Linked DNA regions of Mus musculus. The main gene of each other region encodes a partner of the protein of the gene in region 2 in a complex. Links are inferred from orthologs where the notes say so. Each region holds a gene or a part of one and is shown on either strand. Other genes may lie near its edges. The genes, in order: Tada3, Kat2a, Mbip, Sgf29, Taf4, Tada1 and Tada2b.

What was found.
Region 1: Kat2a (region 2) and Tada3 share a complex: the UniProt entries of both Homo sapiens proteins name them as parts of the STAGA transcription coactivator-HAT complex. The link is inferred for Mus musculus from reciprocal best matches to the Homo sapiens genes KAT2A and TADA3.
Region 3: Kat2a (region 2) and Mbip share a complex: the UniProt entries of both Homo sapiens proteins name them as parts of the ADA2A-containing complex. The link is inferred for Mus musculus from reciprocal best matches to the Homo sapiens genes KAT2A and MBIP.
Region 4: Kat2a (region 2) and Sgf29 share a complex: the UniProt entries of both Homo sapiens proteins name them as parts of the ADA2A-containing complex. The link is inferred for Mus musculus from reciprocal best matches to the Homo sapiens genes KAT2A and SGF29.
Region 5: Kat2a (region 2) and Taf4 share a complex: the UniProt entries of both Homo sapiens proteins name them as parts of the TFTC-HAT complex. The link is inferred for Mus musculus from reciprocal best matches to the Homo sapiens genes KAT2A and TAF4.
Region 6: Kat2a (region 2) and Tada1 share a complex: the UniProt entries of both Homo sapiens proteins name them as parts of the STAGA transcription coactivator-HAT complex. The link is inferred for Mus musculus from reciprocal best matches to the Homo sapiens genes KAT2A and TADA1.
Region 7: Kat2a (region 2) and Tada2b share a complex: the UniProt entries of both Homo sapiens proteins name them as parts of the TFTC-HAT complex. The link is inferred for Mus musculus from reciprocal best matches to the Homo sapiens genes KAT2A and TADA2B.

The regions. Positions count from the first base shown.
Region 1 is NC_000072.6:113,371,339-113,374,838, reverse strand, and holds part of Tada3 (transcriptional adapter 3), read left to right. Parts: coding exon 1-60; intron 61-2,232; coding exon 2,233-2,374; intron 2,375-2,457; coding exon 2,458-2,561; intron 2,562-3,500. UniProt on the Homo sapiens protein: Functions as a component of the PCAF complex. The PCAF complex is capable of efficiently acetylating histones in a nucleosomal context. The PCAF complex could be considered as the human version of the yeast SAGA complex.
Region 2 is NC_000077.6:100,709,668-100,713,700, reverse strand, and holds the start of Kat2a (histone acetyltransferase KAT2A), read left to right. Parts: upstream 1-1,233; 5' UTR 1,234-1,296; coding exon 1,297-1,620; intron 1,621-1,764; coding exon 1,765-1,888; intron 1,889-2,222; coding exon 2,223-2,368; intron 2,369-2,471; coding exon 2,472-2,561; intron 2,562-2,797; coding exon 2,798-2,979; intron 2,980-3,064; coding exon 3,065-3,256; exon of another isoform or gene 3,257-3,451; intron 3,452-4,033. UniProt on the Homo sapiens protein: Protein lysine acyltransferase that can act as a acetyltransferase, glutaryltransferase, succinyltransferase or malonyltransferase, depending on the context.
Region 3 is NC_000078.6:56,343,095-56,347,317, reverse strand, and holds the start of Mbip (MAP3K12-binding inhibitory protein 1), read left to right. Parts: upstream 1-1,423; 5' UTR 1,424-1,517; coding exon 1,518-1,646; intron 1,647-4,223. UniProt on the Homo sapiens protein: Inhibits the MAP3K12 activity to induce the activation of the JNK/SAPK pathway. Component of the ATAC complex, a complex with histone acetyltransferase activity on histones H3 and H4.
Region 4 is NC_000073.6:126,669,794-126,673,279, forward strand, and holds the end of Sgf29 (SAGA-associated factor 29), read left to right. Parts: intron 1-836; coding exon 837-901; intron 902-1,744; coding exon 1,745-1,874; intron 1,875-1,940; coding exon 1,941-2,087; intron 2,088-2,244; coding exon 2,245-2,280; intron 2,281-2,362; coding exon 2,363-2,525; intron 2,526-2,776; coding exon 2,777-2,893; 3' UTR 2,894-2,986; downstream 2,987-3,486. Other genes in the region: Sult1a1 (sulfotransferase 1A1), read right to left, coding at 3,350-3,462. UniProt on the Homo sapiens protein: Chromatin reader component of some histone acetyltransferase (HAT) SAGA-type complexes like the TFTC-HAT, ATAC or STAGA complexes.
Region 5 is NC_000068.7:179,911,646-179,914,646, reverse strand, and holds the end of Taf4 (transcription initiation factor TFIID subunit 4), read left to right. Parts: intron 1-1,040; coding exon 1,041-1,208; 3' UTR 1,209-2,501; downstream 2,502-3,001. UniProt on the Homo sapiens protein: The TFIID basal transcription factor complex plays a major role in the initiation of RNA polymerase II (Pol II)-dependent transcription.
Region 6 is NC_000067.6:166,377,970-166,381,966, reverse strand, and holds the start of Tada1 (transcriptional adapter 1), read right to left. Parts: upstream 2,801-3,997; 5' UTR 2,565-2,800; coding exon 2,491-2,564; intron 1-2,490. UniProt on the Homo sapiens protein: Probably involved in transcriptional regulation.
Region 7 is NC_000071.6:36,474,286-36,477,785, forward strand, and holds part of Tada2b (transcriptional adapter 2-beta), read right to left. Parts: intron 2,678-3,500; coding exon 1,685-2,677; 3' UTR 1-1,684. UniProt on the Homo sapiens protein: Coactivates PAX5-dependent transcription together with either SMARCA4 or GCN5L2.

The DNA.
Region 1 (3,500 bases), on a different chromosome or scaffold from region 2:
GAGGTACGGACACTAGAGGAGCTCCTGAAGCCCCCAGAAGATGAAGCTGAACATTATAAGGTAGAAACCTGAGCCGCACAGTCAGTACGACAGGGCTCAAAGGCGCCTGAGGGTCCTAGGCAGCAAAGCCTGCATCCATCACCTACTTTCTTCCCAGCCTCCTGCCTGCTCCATGACCCCTGCAGACAGTGAGGCTCAGCTTTCTCTGTCCTCTAGCCTTTCTCCAAAGAGCCTCTGAACACTCTCCTTGCTTTTACACTTGGGCGATACTTACTTTCTTTAACTATAAAAGTTAAGTTCCGCTGGGCGTGGTGGCGCACGCCTTTAATCCCAGCACTCAGGAGGCAGAGGCAGGCAAATTTCTTGAGTTCAAGGCCAGCCTGGTCTACAGAGTGAGTTCCAGGACAGCCAGGGCTACACAGAGAAACCCTGTCTCGAGAAAAAAAAAAAAAAGTTAAATTCTGGTTTTCTTTTCTAAGACACTGGAATTTGCTATGGTACCCAGGCTGACCTTGAACCCCTGGACTCAACCATTGTCCTCTCTCAGCCCTTCAGGTCCCCCCCAGGTGTCTGGGACCACAAACATACCTGGGTTAAAAGTTGGTTTTTTTGGTTTTGGGGGATTTTGTTTGTTGTTGTTTTTTGGTTTTTGTTGGTTTGTTTGTTTTGGTTTTGGTTTTTGAGACTAGATTTCATTTATCCCAGGCTAGCCTTGAACTTTGTTAGCTAACAAATTACCCTGAACTTAAGATCTTTTTCTTCTGACTCCCTAGTGCTGGGATTACAGGTAGGTAATGACCATGCCCAGTTGATGCAGTCCTGGTACAGAAGCCAGGGCTCTCTGCATTCCCAGCAAGCTCTCTACTGGCGGAGATCTGTCCCCAGCAAGTTAGCTTTATTGATCTTAAAAATAAAATATGCTCCATAAAAGAAAGTAGACAAACTTGTGAGGCGGGGACTCCACCACAGGACACCTGCCATCGCAGGTGCACGTATGACACAGATCTACTTCTAGGGCTCCCCTGACTTCTGTTTGCCACAGGATGGAGTCCAAGTGTTTCAGTGCTGGGTGACACCCCAGTTCTCTCCAGTTGTCCTTGGCCACATCTTTCTTTCCTGCTGCATTTATCAGCTACACCAGACATGTTCCCTCCCCCTGGCCTCACACCAGGGTCTACACACAAGCTCTTCTCAGCCTGGCAGACTCCCTCACTCCTCAAGGCCCCAAAGATGCCTCTGCAGACTCTCCAGCAGAAAGGGGCAGCTGGGCCCAGTGCCTCACCCCCATTGCACTCGGGAGGCTGAGGCAAGTTTGAGGCCAGCATGGGTTTACAAGTTTGAGGTCCTTTCTCCAAGGAGAGCAAAGGACATGGTCTCACTTGGTGCTTTCATGGTCCCCGGGCTGCTTTAAATGCACTAACCTGAATTTGAAAATCATTTATCTGCAACCAGAGATGTAGTTAGTCATATTGCTCAGTGGTAGAGCAACTTCTTAGCATGGACAAGGCCCCAGATTCAGTCCTGACCAAAAGTACTGCTACCACCTATAATCTCACAGAGTCAGCTTGTCCTATATAAAAGAAGTGGAGAAAAAGCAGTCCATTCTGACAGCAGTAAGTTTAAAGAACACAAGAAAATAATTTCTTCTTATCCCTGCTTTGGGCCCAAGTTCTCTTTAGAGGAATTACCGCTGACCAAGAGGATCCACAGACACAGTATTTTATACCTTGTATCTTTTTGTTGTCGGTAGTGGTGGTTGTGGGTTTTTGGTTGGTTGGTTTGTCTGCCTCCCGAGTACTGGGACTAAAGGTGTGCTATCCTGCCTGGCTTCTATTTTATATCTTGCTAATGCATATCAGCTTCTAGGTGTATTTTGATTTTTGGTTCTTGTTTGTTTGTTTGTTTATTTGAGAAAAGATAGGGTCTCAGCCCAGGCTCAGACTCCTGATCAGCCTATGTCAGCCTCCAGAATGATCATAGGCTAGGTGTGTACGCCACGCCTAGCTGTGTTGAGTCTTTCTATACGTGTTTCCCTTACTGGAGTGTGAGTGGAGAGATTGGATCTTGTTGGCCTTTCGTGGCACCAGCCTTGGCCTTGGGCAACAAATCCGTGAGGAAAGAAAGAATAAACGGATGCTTCCTGACCGAGTCCCATGCCAGGAGATCCTCTCACATTCCAGTCTCAGATGGGCAGTGTTTACCTCTCAGAGCTGAGTGAGCTCTTTGCTGCAGATTCCCCCCCTAGGGAAACACTACTCCCAGCGCTGGGCCCAGGAGGATCTGCTGGAGGAGCAGAAGGACGGCGCTCGGGCAGCAGCTGTGGCTGACAAGAAGAAAGGCCTCATAGGACCACTGACAGAACTGGACACAAAAGGTAAGCCTCAGCCTCCTCACAGCCCAGGCCTGGATCTGAGGCCCCGGAGCTTCAGGCCTCCAGCTGTTGTTCTCCCTGTCCAGATGTGGATGCCCTGCTGAAGAAGTCTGAGGCCCAGCATGAACAGCCAGAAGACGGGTGTCCCTTTGGAGCCCTGACACAGCGCCTGCTGCAGGCCCTAGTGGAGGTGAGCAGGCCATCTGACTGGGAACCACAAGCTAGGCATGGTGGCATCTGCTTGTAACCCCAGTGGCACTTGGGAGACAGAGGCTCTTAGCTCAAGTTCAATCTGGTTACATGTGACTGTCTCAGAAAACAAAAAAACATTTACACACAGGCTCGAGCGAGCATGCGCACACGTGCATACACACACACACACACACACATACACACACACACACACACACACACACACACACACACACACACACACACGAGCGCTCGTGTGCTGGCACTTTATTGTTATTTTGCTTTTTGAGATAGAGTCACACTATGGACTAGAACTTTTAGTCCTCGTGCCTCAATGCCCCTGTGCCGGGAATAGCAGATGTAAGTCTCCACACAAGGCTTCCACAGACACCTTTGCTGAGCAGTGGGTAAGGGGATTGATTCCATGCCTCCTCTGACTGGACGCCTGTGCTTGTGAGGAACTTGAGGTTCAGAAAAGTTAACTTTTTCTTAAGACCACAGCTAATAAGTGAAGGTCGGATTCAAGCCTCGCTTGGGGTTTCCACCTTAATGCCCAGGCCTGAGCTTAGAAACACCATTTACATCCTCTAGCCTCGGTTTCCTCTTTCGTCTCTAACACTATGATAGTTCTTCTCTCAGAGAACAGCCTGGGGTAGACTGAGGCCAGGGGAAGTCTGGCTTAGCCCCGCAGAGACTCCGTCTTATGTGGCTTTTCATCCTGACCAAGGTCACTCTGGGTATTGTGACTGCGCCAGGCCCGCAGAAGCTGAGTAAGGAGTATGGGAAGGAAGCCTTCTGGATGTGACTGTGACTCTTCCCTGTGGACATCACTCTCCTTGGAGAATCTGTCCCACAAGTGCCTCTGACTGCAGGGGTGCCTGGGAAATGTAGTGTAGCTCAGCTGCTGCGGGGAAGGCACAGTGTTGGGATATCTCCC
Region 2 (4,033 bases):
TGCGGGGTTACAGCTCCATCCTGGGAGCTGATGGGATTGAGCAACGGGGTTGAAAAGGTCTGGCTTGCTCTGCCCTGCCCTGCCCTGCCGGCCCTGCCCTACCCTGCCCTTTTAAGAATCGGGCCTGGGGCAAGGAAAATTGTTCTCTGGACTGAGCCAAAAGAGGGGGCCTTTCTGATCTTCCAGGAAGAACTATCCCTGACCTTTCACAGTCTACCTCTACAATGGGAAGAAACTGTCTATTTCTCTGGCTTTCCTCCACCCCCACCCCCCCATTAAGGAGTGGGCAGGGAAAAAGATGGAGGTAGGATGGAAGGGTATGAGGTCAGGAATCCTCTCCATCTTCAAAGCTGCCTAGGCGAGCCAGAAGAGGGGACCACCCCCTACCCTCCGCATCTTCAGTGTTGGTCTCTCTGGTTCTTTAGTTCTCAGCACACACAAACACACTCCCCCCCCCCTTTCCTGCCCACTCCCAACACACACACACACACACACACACGAATGCCCGTGCATGAACACACACATTCAACAGCAGCATGGCCCACAACTATGTCTCTTTGTTCTTTTGAAAATAAAACCGTTTCTGTTTAACAGCAACCCAAGTATAGAAAAAGCTGATTGTCACTGGGCAGTGATGGCGCATGCCTTTAATCCCAGCACTTGGGAAGCAGAGCCAGGCGGATTTCTGAGTTCGAGGTCAGCCTGGTCTACAGAATGAGTTCCAGGACAGCCAGGGCTTCACAGAGAAACCCTGTCTCAAAAAACAAAATAAAACAAAACAAAACAAAACCCAAAAACTGATTGTCAAAGTTAATTCATAAGTGTGAACACCACAGTACAAATAGTAGAATTAATGTTACATTTTATCTCTATTGTAGCTGCAAGCCTTAGCCGGCAGCCACAATAGGGCAGGCTTTTGCAATGTGGGAGCCAACCTCAGGCCCAGGCCTGTTCTTCCACCTATGGACTTTAAAAGGGCAGCATCCACAAATCCTCCAGACGGCCAGTGTTCTGGGGTGCCTCTTGTTCCCAAGAGGATAGTAATTGTCACTATCTCGGATGGCTTAAAAAAGATTAGAATGAAGTAATGGTCAAATCTAGGATGCTCAACCAAGCGACATTTGGTTGTCTGGAACCAAGAAAAAAAAAAGTATGGAAGGCCAAAGGATGGGAAGCGGCAAAGGAAGACTACGACTCCCATCGTGCGCCGGGGCCGTGACGCCTGCGCACTGTGCGCCGGTTGCCCATGCGGCCCTAGGGCTGGGAGCGCGGCGCCGCTCCGCTGCGGGGGAGGCCATGGCGGAACCTTCCCAGGCCCCAAACCCGGTCCCGGCAGCGCAGCCCCGGCCCCTTCACTCCCCAGCCCCTGCCCCAACTTCGACTCCTGCGCCCAGTCCGGCTTCAGCCTCCACTCCGGCTCCGACTCCGGCACCAGCCCCTGCCCCAGCTGCAGCCCCAGCTGGGAGCACAGGGAGTGGGGGCGCCGGGGTAGGAAGTGGGGGGGATCCGGCTCGACCTGGCCTGAGCCAGCAGCAGCGCGCTAGCCAGAGGAAGGCGCAAGTCCGGGGTCTGCCGCGTGCCAAGAAGCTTGAGAAACTAGGGGTCTTCTCAGCTTGCAAGGTGGGGGCGGGGCCTAGAGCAAAAGGGGCGGGGCTTGGGGCATCCAAGGTCTGGGGTAGGAATGGGGGGCGAAGCTCTAGCCATAGAGCCGCTCTTGCGCTTGGGATGCAGACAGCATCAGGGAACTGAACCTTCCCCCTCCAGGCCAATGAAACCTGCAAGTGTAATGGCTGGAAAAACCCCAAGCCCCCCACCGCACCCCGCATGGACCTCCAGCAGCCAGCTGCCAACCTGAGCGAGTTGTGCCGTAGCTGTGAGCACCCTTTGGGTAAGGCAGGCACCACCTTTGGAGCTGGGGCGGAGGGCAGGAGCCAGGTCCTGTTTGAACAGGGTGACATAAGTACCACAGAGCTTCTTGGAGACCTTCTAAGGAAATATTGGGTAGGGAATAAATGTGAATGTCCCATGGAAGGAAAAAAGGAGATCTGCCTTGGTAGCAGGTAGCTACCAAGGGCTGATGGGAGAACTGAGAACACTGGGTCTCCCTGTCTGTCAAGAATTGGAGAATCAAGGGTGTGTCACTGGCTAGTTAGAGGAGGTACAGGAATCAAGCCCCGTGGAGCTCTTCTGTTCTTCCCAGCCCTAATGTAACCATCTTGCAGCGGACCATGTGTCCCACCTGGAGAATGTGTCAGAGGACGAGATTAACCGGCTCTTGGGAATGGTAGTAGATGTAGAAAATCTGTTCATGTCTGTTCACAAGGAAGAGGACACAGACACCAAACAAGTCTATTTCTACCTCTTCAAGGTGAGTTCTCATGGAGTAAAGATGGTGAAGCTTTGGTGTGTGTTGGGGATCCTGCTCTCTGAGCTCTGCTACTCCTGTTTCTGCCCATCCCTCTTCCTTACAGCTCTTGCGGAAGTGCATTCTGCAGATGACACGGCCAGTGGTGGAGGGGTCTCTAGGCAGCCCCCCATTTGAGAAGCCTAACATTGAACAGGTAGGGCGGGCATGTAGCAAGATTAAAGGCGACTTAAGAGGGTGGAGAGTCTGGTTTATTTCCTCAAGCTGAGAACAGGGGAGAGGTTCAAGGAAGGGACATGGTGTTTGCTGACCTCAGAGTGGGTGTGGAAGTTGGAAGGGTCAGAGGTTCTCTTCACAGAATCCCTCCTATTTGACATGCCTCTGTTGGCTGTCCACACCTCCTCCTGATTTTGTCCCCTCCTTACTCCTCAGGGTGTACTGAACTTTGTGCAGTACAAATTTAGCCACCTGGCCCCCCGAGAGCGCCAGACAATGTTTGAGCTCTCAAAGATGTTCCTGCTCTGCCTTAACTACTGGAAGCTGGAGACCCCTGCTCAATTCCGGCAGCGGTCCCAGTCTGAGGATGTCGCTACCTACAAAGTCAATTATACCAGGTAAGCCCAGACAGGGCCTTACAGGGGAGGCTTGAACAGCCAGTCTGGCGGTCTCCACCCTCACCTGCCGCTCCACCTCCCCCAGATGGCTCTGTTACTGCCACGTGCCCCAGAGCTGCGACAGCCTCCCCCGCTACGAGACCACCCACGTGTTTGGCCGAAGCCTTCTACGGTCCATTTTCACTGTCACCCGCCGGCAGCTACTGGAAAAATTTCGGGTGGAAAAGGACAAACTGGTGCCTGAGAAGAGGACCCTCATCCTCACTCACTTCCCCAAGTAAGGCTCAGTCTGGCCTCCTGGGATTTTACCCCAAATTCATGTCCTTGCTGTTGTCCCCTTTTTTCCAGGAAGGCTTCCTGGATTGGTCCCTCCTCTCCCTCCATGGGCCTTCTGGGATCTGGGTGTCTACCTGGCAGATTTGCCCATGGCCCAGAAGCTACTTGCTAGTATGTGCTAGTCTGGGGATGGCAGGTACATGGCCCAAGCTAACGCTACCCTCTTTCAGCCCCCTGATAGATAGTTACTAATTAGTTTCCTCTGGGTGTGTGGATATCACCCCAGAGCCCCTCCTACCACAGTGCTCTGAGAAGTCTAGAGTTTACTTTTTTTGTTTGTTTATTTGTTTTTTCCAGACAGGGTTTCTCTGTGTAGCCTTGGCTGTCCGGGAACTCACTTTGTAGACCAGGCTGGCCTTGAACTCAGAAATCCGCCTGCCTCTGCCTCCCAAGTGCTGGGATTAAAGGCATGCGCCACCACGCCTGGCTTAGAGTTTACTTTTGAAGTGAAGCCATTACCTATCTCTGTGCCTCTGTTGTTCCACATCTTCTTCCCATTTGAATCTGGGAACAAGCATGTGGGAACAAGAGGTGACAAGATTGGCTCATTCTAGACCAGTCTGATAGAGAGGGGACTAAGGCAATTCAGGTGACTGGGTGGGTGCCCTGCCTAGCCACACAGCATAGGATGGCATCCGCTCAGACCCGTTCTCCTTGGCCACACATCATGACAAAATTGGGTCTCCAGTCTCTATCCTGGCTATGTCCTATCCTGAGC
Region 3 (4,223 bases), on a different chromosome or scaffold from region 2:
TTATTTCTTCCTTTATTCAGTCTGCTCTCTAAGGATAGACTACCCATTAACTTCATACTTCCACTTCCTGTATGTTAAATGCACTCAACTATCATGAAGAAGAGTTTTAAATCGTTTGTTTGCTTGCTTGCTTGCCTGCTTGCTTTTCGAGCTTTGGTTTCTTTGTGTAGCCCTTGCTGTCCTGGAACTCACTTTGTAGACCAGGCTGGCCTCATAAGGGATTTACCTGCCTCTACCTCCCTAGTGCTTTGGGATTAAAGGCCTGAGCCACTGCCGCCAGAGTTTTAATTCTTTTGTCCTTTATCTTTTAAGCTTGTTTTAAAAATTTAATAGAGCCAGGCATGGTGGAGCATGCCTTTAATCCCAGCATCCGGGAGGCAGAGGCAGGCAGATTTCTGAGTTTGAGGCCAGCTTGGTCTACAGAGTGAGTTCCAGGACAGCCAGGGTTATACAGAGAAACCCTGTCTCAAAGGAAAAAAAAATTAATAGAACTCTACATTATAAAATTATAACTTTTTTCGCTAAAATAAAGCTATCTAATAATACCCAACAAGAGTCGATTTAGTTTTATATCCTAATTTTAAAGAGTGTGGTTACATGGAATAAATTGGTCTTTTCTTTCTTTCTTTCCTTCTTTCTTTCTTTCTTTCTTTCTTTCTTTCTTTCTTTCTTTCTTTCTTTCTTTCTTTCTTCCTTTTCTTTCTTGTTGTTTTGTTTTGAGGCAGGGTTTCTCTGTGTAGCCCTGGCTGTCCTGGAACTCACTCTGTAGACAAGGCTGGCCTCGAAATCCGCCTGCCTCTGCCTCCCAAGTGCTAGGATTAAAGGCGTGCGCCACCACTGCCCGGCTGGTTTATATTTCTATTGGATTTATATTGAAACAATTTTAAGGTCAAGTGTCCAGTGATTGCACTGAGAACCCGTTGCATGTCAGAACTTTGACATAAACTATTTTGCAGGTGTAGTCATCAATGTCGTTCTATGGTAGGAAAAAGAAGCATAATGTAGCCCTTGTGTTCTTTTTAAATTCCTCATATCAAACAGTCTTATAGAGATGAAAATGTTCTATCCAGTAACGATCATCCTGGGTCAAGTTTCTAGTAATTAGAAAATTGTAAAGCACTGCTCCATCACTAACCCGCAATCTTTTTCCAAGACAACTCGACTGTTAACATTTTAAATTTTAATAGCGGGACTCAAATTCTAACACTTAAGAGTAAGGCTCTGCCAACATTCACAGGGAGCATCTAAGAGCCAAGTAGGTTTCTAAACCAAGGTGGACCACAGAAAACACCACCAGACAGAAGGTCCAGCTTCACATACACAAGTTCCCTCGGAGCACAGCTATCCTTGCTCTTGATTGGTCTTCCTGTGTGTCTGTCACACACAGAGGGTGGGGCCTATCCTCAAGCTCTAAGTGAGACGCTCTAGTTTTACGTCATCTCAGTGCGACGAAGTCCGCGAGGGAGGGGTGGGGTGAGCGCTGTTCGCGGTGGTTGGGGGGCTGCTTTGAAGGTGTCATGGCTGCTGCTGCGGAGCTTAGTTCCTCAAGCGGCAGCGAGAGGAGCCTGGAGCAATGCTCCAGCCCCCTCCTCACCCGCGAGGTCCTCTGCGAAGTCTTTCGCTCCTTGCACACCCTGACAAGACAGGTAAGTGGGGGTGCGGCGGGGAAGGGGTGGGTGGGGAGGGAGAGCATCCCGGTCCTTGTCCCCTTAGTTCTCTCGGAGGCGGGGGTCGCGGAGCCCCGCTGGCACGGTGTGTGCCGCTGGTGTGCCGTGGCCGGGCTGTGACACCCGGAAGACCCTGGGCCCAGCTCCTGGGACCGGGAGATGCCAGCGGCACGCTTGATGGCCAAGGTCTGGAGAAAACTGGGGTCCTGGCGACGAAAGCTTGCCCAAAAGATGCCTAAAAGGTGATGAGGGTGAAGGAGGTTCCTGGCGATCACGGTCCTTTTGCCTCCAGTGTATTTATCGCAGAAACTCACTGGTTAATATGGCCTGAAACTTTTCCTAGCGCCATCCCCACTCCTTGGGGGGTGATTTACTCTGGGGTTTTTTGTTTATTTGTTTGTTTTTCTGTTTTTTGTTTCTCTTGCCATTTATTGCATCTCTTACTCTTTTAAACGGGGAGGGATATATAAGGATTTCCACAATTTCATTTGTAGTATACCTAAATTTTAGTGTGAATTGTTGGATGAGTTATGTGTGGCCACTTCTAACTACATTACGACTGTCGTGTAGCTTAGCTAATTGCTCTTTACAGAAAATGTCACAGTAAACCTGGATTTTAAAAACTAGGTTACACTTTACTAGATAGTCGTGATGTAAATGAGGCAATGTTTAAATAAGGAACAAAAGTATGTTTGCCTGCTTTTAGAAGAGTTTTGTGTCAAACATGTTTCCTAATTTGTTTGGGGACTGGTTATAGTGCTTGAAATGGACACAGCACACATTTATGTCAAGGGCAGTGGTACCACCAGTGAGAATAGGACATTTACCTGATTTGTGAGGATTATTTTTAAAATCCTTAGTTGGAAAACCTTAGTAAGTTTATTCTGACTGGCAAACTACTTGAGTTGTACATTCTGTTTGGTGTTACTGGACTTCGAAAAGTTAAAAAAAATTAAACTCAGTTGCTTGATAAGCAATTAGGAAAAAAATTCTTACAAAGTCTTAAGCACTTTCCTTATTAATATTTCAGTAGTAACATCTCAGATCTTTAAATAGTTTAAAAGTTAGAGAACTTTTTGGCGTGGATTTGGAACTTAAAGATTTATTCATTTATATTTCTAATGTCAAGATGAGAAAAATCTTCTCAAATATTATGCTTAGAAATTGCAAAATAATTTACATTGATAAATTATTTGAATTATAAAATATCTAAATTTTGCATACTGAGTTTTTTAATTATATAAATTTATCTCAAAGGTTCAAATGGAAAAATGATTAAACTTAACTTATGCCACTTGCCAAAAATGTGTAGAGAAAATGAAGTTTTTGTAACAGTAAAGGGTCCTTTAACAAGTGTCAAATATAAGATTTTTTAAAAAATTAATTAAATGCTATTTTAGTAATATGTATTTTGAGATGCGTGATTAAGGATGAAAGCCATCCACACTTATAAAGTTGCCCCTGCGGAATGTGTCCTTTCGCAACAAATTAAAGGGACTTTTAAGATGTAAATTGTAATATGTCTAAGTTCACCTTAAATATCATTGAATTATTAGCGCTTTTCGATAGAAAGTGTAAAACTGAATTGTTAAAAAGCATTTTTCCTTCAAATGCAACTAATGTGTTTCTACTGAACATACATGACTGAGTAGTCAGTGTTAATAGTGTGTTAATAGAAAAATTTGAACGCCTGATTACTGTCCCAAGGATTATGGGATAAAAATTCATAGAATCCATATGTTACTGGGGAATTTGCTGAATGAATAATTGGATTATTTGGGGGCCATTTTTAAGTTAATTTGTCACCTTACTGTTTGGTTTCCATAAAAGATCAAGTGTCTCCAGTTGCCTTTGAAAGCTTCCATACTGACATGAGAATATGATCCAAATATTAAGATTTCTTTCCTATAATTATTTTCTCTAGAAAGGGTGATGCTTTGCTTTGGTTTAAGGTTTGCCTGCTTATTCCCCAAACATAAATCTGCCAAGAGCTCTATAGTTGACTGTGGCAAGAATAATGAACTGTAAAAATAAAAAAACAAGACATGAATTGTCCATGGAACCAAAGAGATCTCAGGTTCCTATGTTAAGCACTCTACTGTATAAATAGTGGATACAGAAACCTACTGCCTAAGACCAGGGGCATCTAAGTCCACATTTGGCAAACATAAAGAAATATGAAATTTTACATAGGCTATACTGACATAGGTAAACTTACACTAAGTTAAGATTTGACGATAAGATTACTAAGATAACTGCATTTATTATTGAATATGAAAGTAATCCATCAGCACATGTCTTGGTTTTTTATTCTTACAGCTCTTTAAATTTGTATTTGAGCTCATGAAACATGCATCTTTACTTTGTAGAAAATATGACATAATTTTTAATAAATTATTATTGCAAAATAAGTACAATTGACTTGTTTCCACTTGAATTGTGTCTAGCAAAGTTTATAGTGATTCCCTTATACTCAGTCAAATGTACAGGTGGAAGCTTCTCCCTCTAAAGTTTTGACTGATTTTGATATTAATTTTATATTCTTGGTAGTGTTCT
Region 4 (3,486 bases), on a different chromosome or scaffold from region 2:
TCTTTATTCACCAATCAGAAATAATTTGAATCACATAGCTCACTTAGGTCTACATGGGGGCAGCACTTAGCATTACAATACACAGTAAAAGACCAAACCTCAATTGCTGTCAGGGGTGTCATGAGCAGTAAAATTTGTTTGCCTATATTATAATCCTGTGGGGCTGCTGTCACAGAATTGTAACACATACAGACCTTCTCTTTAGGGTCTGTATGTTTTTTCTTTTTATTAATATTTTGTATGTGTGGTATATATATGTTTATGTGGTGTGTACATGTATTTTTGTAGGTTCCCAGGCATGTGAGATGAGTGTGCATGTAGAGACCAGAGGCCAGCATTGGGTATCTTCCTTGATTATTATCCACCTTAGTTTTTGAGACAGGGTTTCTAATTGAATGTGGGACTCATTGATTTGGCTAGGCTGTTCGGCTAATGGGCTTCAAGGATCTGATTGTCTCTATGGTAACTCAATGCTGGAATTACAGGAACACACCCTGATGTCTGGCTTTCACATAGGTGTTGGGAATCTAACTCAGATCCTCAGGCTTGCACAACAGGTACTTAACTCATTGCGCCATCTCTGTAGTCTCTCCTTTTGTGTTGGACGCAAGGTCTCACTCTAGCCCAGGCAAACCTGGAACTCATTGCAGCTAAAATAGCATCACATTCACAACATAATTGCTGTAAACTCCTGAGTGTTGAGATTAGGTGTCATCCAGCACACCCACAGGATTTGAAGCTTTCATCATAGACTTGGTCTGAGGAGGCCACACTGCCACGACGCCTGTGCTGAGTGCCTCTCTCACCCAGCATTCTTTTCTCCCTTCCCTGCCTAGCATCCTCCGCAAAGCGCTGGATAAGATAGCTGAGATCAAGTCTCTGTTGGAAGAGAGGCGGATTGGTGAGTGGGAGAAAACACAGGGCATTTCTTTACCAGGCAAGGTGGGGGCTCAGGGGACAATAGTCACGGCTCCTAGCAGGGGGAACATAGGACCTAAATCGATAGGGTCACCCCACAGAGCTGTCTGGCACAGACTCAGAGGCAGAGAGTTTGCCTAGTTCTCTACCCACCCCTCCTACTGCCCTTAGTCACTTGGCCAGAGCTGCTCATCTCTTTCCTTCCTGTACTGTTCTCTATGGTATGCTTTGGTGACAGTCTGTCACCCTCTATATTCCCAGGCCAGCTACACATTGGAAACTTGCTTAGCCCCCAGCCTTCCAGGTTTCCTCAGGTTCTGTTGCCTTGGCTTCATGACCTCCGCCTTACCACAGAGGCAACTCTTTACCCTTACTGTGACCGTGGTAGCAATTTTTGTTTGTTTTCAGTTGAAGAGGGTGATGAGCTGAATGTGAGGAGACCTAGGATCCACACTAGATAATCTGTGCAGCTTTTGCTAAAATTACATGCACTGGTAGAAAGGAGATAAAGATGGGTATACATTTCAGGAATTGTCATTGGCCCAGCACCTCAGTCAGGGGACAGAATGTAACCTGCATCCTGGAAGGCCCGCTGTGCACTGTTTTAGTTCCTCTCCATGAAGGTGCCCACTTTCCTGACATCTCACCCATTTGGTAGTTAGACCTGTCAGTCAGTTCCTTAGACTCAGCCTTAGATCTGTTAAGAAGGGATGTGGATGAGTTTGGGGGAGTCCTGGTACAAAGTGCTCCAGCTCAGAGCAGTTGCTGGGTGTGACTGGGTCAGGTACCGTGCACAGGACCTCAGGGGTACACTTGCTTCCCACAGCGGCCAAGATCGCAGGTCTCTACAATGACTCAGAGCCCCCACGGAAGACCATGCGCAGAGGGGTGCTGATGACACTGCTGCAGCAGTCCGCCATGACCCTGCCCCTCTGGATCGGGAAACCTGGTGACAAGTGAGGGCAGGAACTAGCCAGAGAGGGATGGTGTTGGGGGGCCAGACTAACAGGCTTTCTCTACAGGCCCCCACCCCTCTGTGGAGCCATTCCAGCCTCAGGGGACTATGTGGCCAAACCTGGAGACAAGGTGGCTGCTAGGGTGAAGGCTGTGGAAGGGGATGAACAGTGGATCCTAGCTGAAGTAGTCAGTTACAGCCATGCTACCAACAAGTGAGTGTGTGCCTGACTGCATTCATACCACACCAGAGGGTGCTGGGCGGGGCTCCCTCAAGCTTCTTCAGCCCCTTTCCATCCCATCTCACACCCCACTCCCAGATATAAACTGTGCCTTCTGTTCCAGCACTGTTTCCCTTCTGTTTGCCCACAGGTATGAGGTAGACGACATTGATGAAGAAGGCAAAGAGTGAGTGTCCAGGTGGGGAGCAGGGGAGTCACCAAGTTTCTGAGAGAAGCGTCCCTGGTCACGGTCTATATTGTTCCCCCAGGAGACACACCCTGAGCCGTCGGCGCATCATCCCACTGCCCCAGTGGAAAGCTAACCCTGAGACAGACCCTGAGGCCTTGTTCCAGAAGGAGCAGCTGGTGCTGGCCCTATATCCCCAGACCACCTGCTTCTACCGTGCCCTGATCCACACCCCACCACAGAGGGTAAGGAGCCACCATGGAAGGTCTTTGATGATATCAGGCCCTTGAGGGGTAGTCATCTTCATTCTTTAGGATGCTGCCGTCTTCTCGTTGTCCTTTATCTCCTGCACATAGGCTTCCCTGGTAGTACCAGACCCTTTGACTCCAGAGTAGAGAGGAAAGCTGGAGAGGTGGGGAGACACGGCTAGGGCTCAGGGCAAGGAGAGGCTGCCCTGGTCTAGAAGCCCCTTGACCCTTCCTGTGTGTATTCTCAGCCTCAGGATGACTACTCAGTCCTGTTTGAAGACACCTCTTATGCAGATGGCTACTCCCCTCCCCTCAATGTGGCCCAGAGGTACGTGGTGGCTTGTAAGGAGCCCAAGAAAAAGTGAATCGGGCTGGTAGGCTTGAATCTGCCACTGCCAACCTCATGGGAGAAGGCTACAAAGGAGTTCCTATGATCAAATAAATACTCTTCCCTCTCACCATGTCTCCTGGGCCTCACTACGTCAGACCCTCTTGCCATCCTCCATCAGGCACGTGGGATTGATGGTCGCAAGAGGGAGAAGGTCCAGTCAGCTCCCAGTGGCATTTATTTGTTCAGGTAAAATACAGTTTATCTTACTATTTTTGCATGTTTGTACTTTAGGTTCTTTTTCAGTGTTAGGACTGATGGCTTTCCTGACATGTTGATAAGACCCTCTGCCTCAGCTACATCCCCAGTCCTATTCTCTTAGCTCAGATTTCCTTTAGGCATACAACAAATAAATTGAACACATCACATTTTTCTCTTGAGATCATGATGGGCTGTGTCAGCTTGCCTTGGTTCCCAGTATAGCCATATCCACTCATATTTGACAGCGGAACGTGAAGTCACAACCTGTCATTATCTTGGCATAGTGGGCATCAAAGTGCTCACTCTGGGCTACAGTGAAGGTATTTTTCCAGTCCCCAATGGTACCTGGAGAGAGAGAGAAAGAGAGAC
Region 5 (3,001 bases), on a different chromosome or scaffold from region 2:
ATAACATCCAAGGAGATTGTCTACCCAAAAGGACATGGCTACCAAGGTGATGGTGGAGACCAGGGCCACAGATGGACAGTGGTGGCTCCCAGCATCTGAGGAAAAGTACCCTATCTTCAGTTGGACATATGCATGAAGAAACTGGCCAGGTCATGTAGGCACACTTGTACCTGGCCTGCCTGCCAGCTTCCTATGACTGCCATCTACTGGCCCCTGTGCCCCTGTGCCTCATGAGTAGAAGGTGATACTCCAGTTTCCTAAGCTTCGACTATGGAGGCACAGTCAGGACATCACTGCAGTTTGTACACTTGAATACTAATGGACAGTTTAACCAGCAGGACACACCTTGGTTCTCTACTGTGAGAAGAGGAGAGCTGTCCATGGGGATCGTGTGGTTTGAGTCCAGCGGGGGTCAGATGGAGGCAGTGAGGAGATCAGCTGCTTAGTGGCCAGAAGCCAGCCCTAGTACATCCTATTTCTGAGCAGGAAGGAAGTGAGCTCAGTTCGCTGGATAGCTGTGGTGACCTAGGGAATGGGTCTGCAGCAAGGCCCAGCCAGGGGAGCAGGGAGCCCCCTTCCCTTGGCCGTGGATCACCGTCCTGACCGCTGAGCAGTCGGCCTCTCCAGCTGACCAGCAGCCTGCCCTGCCCATGAGTTCAGGCCTAGTGCCTCTGTCAGCCAAGGAGGGATGCCACGGTCCCAGGTGTGGCATCAAGTGTGGTCTTTGATCCCCTCACCTGAGCCTCTTGGGTAGTGTTGTGTTGTGTGATATGGAAAGTGGGGGCTGCGCGTTCAGAACCTTCTCTCCCACTCAGGGTCAAGCTTATGGGGACATTGGAGGTGGTGGGCATCCTGAGCCTGTTGCAGAGTGGGGAGTAGGGGCCTCTGCCCTGCATAGGGACTTAAAGTAGTAGAACTGTGGAAGGAGCTTGGCAGGGTGTTTCCTCAAAACCAGGGTCTTTGGGATACTTGAATCTCCTCCTCCCTCCTAACTGTTCTATGGTCACTAATGCACATGTCCTCTTCTTTCTCCCCACCAGGGCTCAGGCCCGGGCGCAGCAGTCCCAGGCGGCTCCGGCGTGGGAACCCCCAGACAGTTCACACGGCAAAGAATCACGCGGGTCAACCTCAGGGACCTCATATTTTGTTTAGAAAACGAGCGTGAGACAAGCCATTCACTGTTGCTCTACAAAGCATTCCTTAAGTAACAGGATGAGCCGGCGTTTCTGATGGGATGCTTGCGGACGTTTTTATATATTTGCAGATTACGCCTTTTTGTAACAAGCAAATGGGATATTGTTTAAAAACAGCCACCTCTTTACAATGGAGCAGTTTTATACTCCTGTTTATAAATCAGCTCTTCAGTGCGGCAGAAACCGTGTCTGCAGCAGAGAGAACACAAAGGCCTGTGGGTGCTCTCACAGGACAGCTGACCCGAGCTCATCCTCGGCTGAGTGGCCTTCTTGCCAAACAAGCCATATTTAAAGACTGATGGAAGCGCTTAGCAAATAATTAGCAGTTGCTCATCCTGTGTGCGTTTTGGTTCAGCTCACCCTGACTCCCGCTAGGTGTATGTCTACAGCCGATGACCTCATCTCTTCCTTTCTGTTGTAGCAGTCAGTTGGCGAAGCAAGCTGACTTTTTAGACTATTTATCACCTCGCCCCTGCCCTGTCCTGTCCCTTCCCTCCCGTCTACACGAAGCTCCCCAGGAACACAAGCTCCAAGCAGGGTCCCGGTCTGCAGTAGAGGCCGGGGTGCAGGCCGGGGGCAGCACCTGTACAAACACAATTGATTTGCTGCAGTTTGGAAGCTGTGAAGTGGAAGGAAGTGAGAGCCTAGGAAGTGAGAACCTTTTCAGCGTAAATATATTTTACTTGCACTGTGTTTTTAGCTCAGAGTGAAGACTTAGATGAAATAAAATCAGAGTTGAGAAGAATCAACAACAGACTGTTTCTCAGTGTGGATCAAGTGTTGGAAATGGTTGGTGTATTTTGTCAGTAATTGTACATAATTTTTGGCACATAACATAAAATGGCTATGTAAACTATAATTATTTTGCTAAGAGACTGTATGCAAGCTGTGGCCAACCTTACAGGCGTCCAGAGCAAAGCCCCTTCTTTGTACCTATTTTTTTATTACAAATATACTAATTGGTTCTTTATATTTTCAGAGGTTATTGTATTAAATTGTCTATTGATAGTACTTTTATGACTGTAAATACTTGGCTTTCTCCGTGTGGATTCTCATGTTAGACTTCAATTCGCACGTGTGAACTGAACGCTGATCAGTATTTTTTACGACACCCAAGAACTGTTACACCTTTCATTTTATCTTTTAGGAAATCCCTGTCTTTCCATTTTTTCATGTAAATTTTGCACAGTTACTTGTTAATATGTAAATATTTTACTTTCAGAAATGAAGTTTTTAATTGCTATTGTTTTATATAGGATTGAAAGAAAATTAACTCCTTTATTAAAAACAAATTTATCTGTATTTGTCACGCCTGCTTTTCCATTCCTGAGTCTCTCTCTGGTCCTTATGAATCTAGGAGTTAACCAAGCACAGGCCCCCTTCTGGGCTGGAGTTGGGGCCAGTCTTCTGTTCTGTTCACCCAGAGGACACCAGAGCTGTGCTTTTCCCATTCCAGGCCTTATCCTGTAGACTGTCTGAGGGCAGGCATAGAGGTGTATGATAGACAGATACCCCTGTAAGCTTGGGCTGCAGGTGGTAGGTAGGCTTACCTGAAGACTCCCCCTCATTGCCATCCCTGATGTCCTCATCAACAGCTGTAGAGATCAAGGACACAAACTGTGGACAGATGTCTTGGCAGGATGGCCAGAGGCCTGAGGTCCAGGCAGTAAGGGTTGACTTCCAGGCTTTCTTTGGTGGCCGTGGGCATACAGAACAGCACCCTCTCTGTCTTCCTTCTGAACTCCTGGATATGTGTCTGTCTGTGCTAAGGCTTCTCTTTCTGTCAGCACACCATTCAAGGATACCCA
Region 6 (3,997 bases), on a different chromosome or scaffold from region 2:
CACGAGGTGACTCCTAAGCTAGTCTGTCTAGTCAGCAGCAAAGGAGGGGACAGATACTTCAGACTCTTGCAGAGGTCCCAGGAGAGCCTCAGAAGAAACCCACCCGTCCAGCATACTGGCCTAGGATTTACAACCCCCAGAGCTGTGAAAAGAGTAACTTCTGTGGTTTAAGCAACTCGCCTGTGGTGCCTAGCAAATGAACACACCAAAGAGGCAGAGGAGCAACAAGAAACATCCTTTCTCCCTAAAGGAGGACTCAGGGCAGACTTGGTGCAGACACACCTGTGCCTTTCCTTCTCTTGGCCGCCTTCTTAAAAGAACATGGCGGACTTACTCCTAAGCGTGAACGTTTTATGAGGAGGAGAGTGGTGACTAACACCTATTCCTGTGCCACGCTTCCGTTCAGATGAGCTCAAATCGGCAGAAATGCTGCCTTTCTAATCACTCGCCAGAAAGGAAGTATTCCTGGATATGAGTAACTGAAAGCCTGTGGTTTTAACATCTGGACCGCTGGACATATGGTAAACAATTCACACCATGCACTCTGTATACCCTTGTTTTACCTACCTCCCAGGATCCCATTTAAATGGTCATGATGAACAACGAAAAGCAAACTGCTTAAGAGGAAATGGCCAGAGACAAGCAAGCTTAACCAAGATGGCAGGTTTTAAAAATGAAGACCGGAAACAGAAATGCATTACAATCCCATCATTAACTGTGTCCCTGACACAAAGACTTGTGAATTTCACATGACAGATACATAAAATTTGGAATCAGCACCCATATTTGTGCAACATCACAGTCAGCTCTGGCCATTACAAATGGATCAAAGACTGCAAAGGTTTCTGTCATGCCTGAGTTTGCTAAGTGAGTCTGGAAGGAAGGCACAGTTACTCTGGCCAGAGTTAGAGTCATGGCCTTCACAAGTCATAGCCTGCAGATTTAGCTCCGTGTGAAACCATTCACTTCCAAAACCCTGTGAGCGTGGAAAAAGAGACAAGTCTCCCAATAGGCTTTTTAACCGTAAGCCTCACCAAACAGTATTATAAAAGTACACAACCATTCTAACGAAGCCAAAGGCTGCCATTTTTACCTATTTAAATTTAATTTAATTTCCTCCTTGCATCTCAGGTGGTCCTTCACCCATGGCGCTTGGTGTGACAGTCTTGAGGCAGGACTATCAAACTGAAAACATCACAAACGTAAAAAACGCAAAAGAGTCCCTCACCCCACTCAGCTTGCAGCCTCTTACCAGCTAACATCGAAAATTCCAACACAACTAACAATCTCTGTCTAAGGCCTCCCTCCTTCTCGCTTCCAGGCTGTAAAACCGCAGTTGTCTGGTCATCTGGACAGAGAAACCCCTTGTGCAACTTTAATGTCGCCTGGTTTTACTCTACCAGACTTTATAAGCTTGTCCACCTCATCAGCAAAAAGAGAAAAAAGAAAAAGAAACTTGTACAAAATTCTTGGGTGTAACAAGACAGCTGCCAAAACGCACAACTTGTGACTCTCCATTGAGAAGTCCACATCTGGGTATGTCTTATTTCCCTGGGCATCTCTTTTTAATTCCGGTGCTTAAAAATCTACAAATAATAATACTTATTATTTATTTATTTATTTATTTATTTAAAGCCTTTTAAAGAGGGGTTCCGACGAGGAGCTTGCACCTAAGCTTTTCTGACGGCCTTTCTATTAACACCACCTCTGCTTCACGGGCTGCTCTTGTCAATCATTTCAACTTCAGTGCCAGGAAATACGGGTTTGCCAGAATTGAAGTTCCCCCAAAAGATCGAGGCTCCTCCTCCGGCTGCCGCAGGCTACTGCTTATAGAGCTGTCACTCTGCCCCAGTCCCTGCTGACAGCCCGGCGGTGTGGGGAACGGGAGGACTTTCCAAGTAACCCCTGAAAAGCATCACACGGCGGGAACCAGAAGCCTCAGTCCCATCCTTGGGCAGTGACTTTGGGGGAATAAGTAATCTCTGTCTCTCGAGTACGAACTGTGCCGATCTCAGGTCTGAGGATTGGCTGGCCCGTGTGGAACACTGGGAAAGGCGTCCTACGGCCGGCTAGGCAGCCGCCCCCTTGGATGCTGTGGTTGTAAGGTGGGTGACCGACCGACTTCACTTGGGGTCTCTGTGCCTTCCGAACCCGCTTTCACAGCTCTTCTAGCTGGCCCCTGAGCAACGCGGGCCTCCGCCTCCGGGAAGCCCTCCGGGCCCCCCCACCCCGCCCCGGCGCGCCCCCCGCTCTACCGACTCCGGGGCGCCTAGGGCGCTGCTCCCGCCCCCACGCGGGTATCACCGGTGTCGGGACGCCCAGGAGAAAGTCCTCCAGCGCCTCGAGTCCCGGCGGAGCCCGCACGGGAGCCGTGGCGGCCGCGAGACGCCTACGGCCTCCGGGAGGTGAAGAGAGTCCAGGGACTACGGCAGCCCCGAGCTTGGGGCACACCCACGGACAGGCCCGGAGGCTGGTCCCCGCGGCTCTTACTGTTTCACGTTGTCCCCCAGCGCCTCGCTCAAGTTCTTCTTGGCTGCCTCCAGCTCGCTCACAAAGGTCGCCATTGCAGCGCGCGTCTTTCAGCCCGACCGTAGACCGCGCGGCCCACGGCCACCAGCAACCGAAAGATCAACGCGGCGGAAGGCCTGCGCGCCGGACGCTGGAGGCTCGACTCGACTCGATTCCACTCGGCTCGGCTCGGCTCGGTTCGGCTCGGCTCGGCTCGGTTCGGCTCGGCTCGGCTCGGCTCGGCTCCGCTCGGCTCGGCTCGGCTCCGCTCGGCTCGGCTCGGCTCGGCTCTGCTCGGCGGCCCCGCCCCCATCCGCTAGGGAGACGTTGCGTGGGTTTGGTTCTTGGCCCCGCCGTCTCGCAGTTGGGAAAGCACCCAGCCAAACTCCCTTCGCCAACTCCCGCCTCTTGGCTCACGTGACCCGCTTCCCCTGGTGGGCGCGTGCCCAACCTACGCCCGCCTGCCCGCCCGCGGCGGCCCCCGGGGCGCGAACTTGACCGCCCCGCCCGCCCTCCGGCCAGGCCCCGCCCTGACTGCAGGTCAGCTCTTCCCAGAAGGAAGAGCTCAGGTCCCCGAGTGCATGCAATATCTAATTTATCCTCTTGTCCTCATTTTTTTGCCAAGTGCTCACCACCTATTGTGACATTTAGTTGGTCGATCTCGTTTTCTGCCTCCTGCAACTAAAACGAGAGCTGCCTGAAGGCAGGATTTATGTTACTCAAGTTCTGAACATTCACTATTGACAGATCAAATAAAAATAATTCCCAAGCAGGACTACCAAAGGTCCTAGGGGAGGTAACAGGAGGAGTCTCAGCAGCTAGTTAGCCTGACCCACAGAGGAAAAGACGCAAAGAACCTCGTTTCAAGTCAAGGTCAAGTGGAAGGACCCACAAGCTAGCTTGTCCTCTCTCAAATTCCAAATTCACACTCGAATATGCACATATATACTACACTAGGAAGCCATAGCTGTGTTCAGCTTAAAACTTTTTAAAGCCTACTTTTAAAGTCTCTCTCTCTCTCTCTCTCTCTCTCTCTCTCTCTCTCTCTCTCTCTCTCTCTCTCGTTTTGACAGAGTGGCCTCTTAACTCACATAGATCCAACTGCCTCTAGTGCTGGCTGGGACTAAAGGCATGGGTCACCATGCCCAGCTTGTTTGTTCTTGAAATAGGGTCTCTCTTTGTAGCCCTGGCTATCTGACACCAGGCTATTATTTTGCCTTAATGTTCATGTTTGTTTGTTTGTTTTTTGAGACAGGGTTTCTCTGTATAGCCCTGGCTGTCCTGGAACTCACTTTGTAGAACAGGCTGGCCTTGAACTCAGAAATCCACCTGTCTCTGCCTCCCAAGTGCTGGGATTAAAGGCATGTGCCACCACTGCCCGGCTAATGTTCATACTTTTAATGACAGCATAATTTTTTAAAGATTTTGTTTTTAGGTAGATGTCGTTGTGAGTGAATTTACAGGTGGTTGTGAGCAGCGGGCCCTGTTA
Region 7 (3,500 bases), on a different chromosome or scaffold from region 2:
GATGGTTTGAAAAACACCCTGCTAGTCCCTGTTAATGAAGCCCCCAAATCTCTGCTTCGAGATTTAACCTGGGGTATGACTGTATTTCTGACAGTGCCTGGGGAACCCTACTTTGAGAACCACTGGCTCACCTAGGCATTGAGTACCAACCACCCCATTGCTGTTCAGTCACACCAGCTACTGTCCACTATTCAACTGCAGGGGGCAGTGTGGAGCTGGTCCTTTGACACCATTGCTCAGCATCTTCTGGTGTCAAGAGAAATCTGGGCCTGCTGGCCCACAATGCACTTTACAACTAAAGCCATTTACAGTATATTTGAAATGTTTTATTTAATGCTGAAAAACTTACCCTAGGGGACAGAGGATGTAAAATGAAAAGGCACGTCGTCATGTCGTCCTTGGAAATGAGTTGTTTTCTTCAAAATAACTTCACTTTTACTTCCGAGCCCAAACACTCTATGAGGTAAACAGGCTCTTGTACCTCTCAGGGACAGGGGGCAGGGGCTGTGGTCACTCCAGGACTCTAAAGCAGGGTCTGGGCGTGAGAGCCCTGAGCAGCCGGAAGACAAATGCCTTCCTCAAGTTTAGAAGGAAGGTACCATATGAATCCGTGAAGGAGGCCCCAGAAACAAGCTTTTCAGTAGGGCTGGGAAGGAGCCATTTCTGAGTTTGTTGCAAGATCACATACAAAAGCAGTGCACAGGCTCCAAGGCACAGGCAGGATGCTCTGTACTTCCTAGGCCCCCTGCCATACGCTAATCAGCTCACTGAGCCAGGCTAGCTAGCATGTCTTATATTTAGTGAAAGGGGATCTACAATGGTAGTGGAAGTCCTCAGCACCTACTGCTCCATTTCAACATTGCACACTCTGCCTTGAACTCAAAAGGGTCTTCCAAGTCAGGTGTACTGTAAGTGTTCACAGCAGCGAAAGGCAGCCCTCATCTGACCCTGTGGCCCTTCCGTTAACTGCTTTCCCATTTAAAGGGTACAGGAATGTGCCAGGAGAGCCTGTCCAGGCAGCCCAGGCTGGGCCAGGCTAAGATGAAGCAAGCACTATTGAGGGCCTGAAATGGCTGTTGTTAGGTAAGTGGAAGCTCATGTGGTCACTGTGTGCAAATGAGGGGCTCATCTTAAGTGGCTCAGTGGGGAGCGGGCCTGGTGGTGGTCTCTGGCCTCCACAGCAGAGGGTTCTGTGCACAGCCTGCCTCCCGGTAAAGTGCGGTGTGCCGGGGCTGTGCTTGGGGTGTCAGCTGGGGAGGGGGGGCAGCAGTGGGCTCAGCAAAGGGGTGCCAACAACAGCCCTCCTGAGTAAAGCTTGTGTCACCAGAGAAAAGCTGATGGCAGGAACACACGGCTCCTGGCTCCCACAGCATAACAGCTTCTTAACCCAAACGGGGAAAGGCTCATGAAATAAAGGGGACACGTCCAAGGTTGGGGACAGTCTTCATAGGAACACAAAGGCAAGCTGTCTTCTGAATGGATTACCTTAGGACTAAGTTAAAAAGACACACGCTTATCTCCCCTATGAGTCAAATTTAAGATTGCTACTATTGCTTCTTCCAGAAGGTCATGAAAAAAAAAAATTTAAGCCTTGAAAAAAGAATTCAATTTGTTTAAAAGAGCAACAATGTTGGGGGAGACCCCAGATCATTTGGCTCACAAGCTGCTTTAGCATCATCTGGCCTCAGGAAGCATCCCTGGATATCCACCCACTTTCTGTGAGGAAATTTAAAATCCTTTTCTTTAGGACCTTGTCCAGATAACTGGGAAGGCGGCTTTTAGAGGGGATCCCTTGCCGCTTCTGGAGGTGATCTTTAATTATAATAGTCTTCACAGTCACATAGCGTGCAGGACTCAAGTTCAATGAACTACAGAGAACCTTCTCCCTATCTGACAGCAGCTCAAACCCAGGAAGGTTCTCAATGGCTGCAAACTCGCTGTCTTTGCCATCCTCCTTCCCCCTTTTGGAGCTGGCCAGGTTTTTGTTCTCCTTCCTCCTCTCCCGTTTGTGTCTGGCGGCCTCATATTCGGCCGACTCCTCCATCTTTGTAATGCCATTGCGCCGGTAGCGCTGCAGCTCTCGAATCTTGGCGCGAAGCATCTTTTCTTTGTGCATATTTTCAAATAAATCATCAAATTCTTTGCAGGACATGAACTGGTAGAGTGGCCGTAGTTTGAGCCGCAGCTCTTTCTCCTCCTTGGTGATCTTTCTCTTCAATGTCTTCTCCTTCTCCTTCTTGTCCTTGCCCAGGAAGGCTGGCACCAGGTTATAGTCTCTGGCAATGTTCTTCCGGCGCTGCCTCTCCTTCAGCTTCCGCACATACATGTCTACATGGGCACGCTTGAGCTCTATCTCCACATCATCATCGTCATAGTTCACAGACAGCCCACTGATGAGCGTCTCGGCATCCTGGTCATACTCTATCTCATAATCATCTCGCAGTGGCATGTAGCCCAGCTGCTGCTGCTCAGCCACAGAGATGTCCAATGGGGGTAAAGGTGTGGTAAGGCTAGGCGAGAGAGGGCCTCCACTGGGGCAGGTGTGATCTGTCACCCGGTTGGGGATGGTGTCAGGGATGCAGGCTTTGCCCAAGTTCCCATGGATATACATGCTAACGTAGTGCTCCATCACTTCCTGGGGAGTCCGTGAAGCACCAACATGTGCAGCCATGTCTTCCTATAATGACAAAAGCCAGACCATCAAGCCACTTCACTCAAGTTCATCCCACCATCTCACAAAGCTTTATTTGGGCTACTTCCTATCAATGCTGTTATCTCTCTCTCTCTCTCTCTCTCTCTTTCTCTCTCTCTCTCTCACACACACACACACACACACACACACACACACACACACACACACCAGTTATCCCCTGAAAGATGTTCAGGTATGTATCCCAACAAAGGAACCTACATAGATGTACCTGAGCGGAAAGATCCAGAGCTACAGACTTGTGCAAGGCTATATGGGAGCTGGTGACAGCTGGCTAAAAGTCATTCTTTGTTCTTTGACTTCTTAAAGAAAAAGCAGACATGTGCTATTGGACATTTTACCCACTGCAAATCCTGAAGAACATTTAAGACAATATGGTGTCAGACACATACTTCTCACTCAGACTAAAAAGCAGACTTGCCAACTTGCCCAGAGGGCAAAGCAAGTCCATGCAGAATGACTACAAAAGGGACTGTTTCTCTGTGCATCCTAGGACAAAAGGCCAGGACTCCTTAGCTTTGTTCCAGCCTTAGGTTCTAGAGCGTAGCTTGTTCCTCTCTTAGGTGGCTGGAGATGGCGGGCATACAGAAGCTAACTGCAGGGCTGCCAATGCTGAAAGCCTTCTCCACTTCTGCAAGAAAGGAAACTGAATGGCTCCCTCAATCTTTTCCTTTTGCCAAGAGGCCTCTTCCTTAAAGTCAACCACTAAAGCCACTTCAGAAAGTAATTGCTCAAAATGCACACTCATTTCCCGGTTGCTATTCTCAACACAAGTTCCAGAACCAGCAAT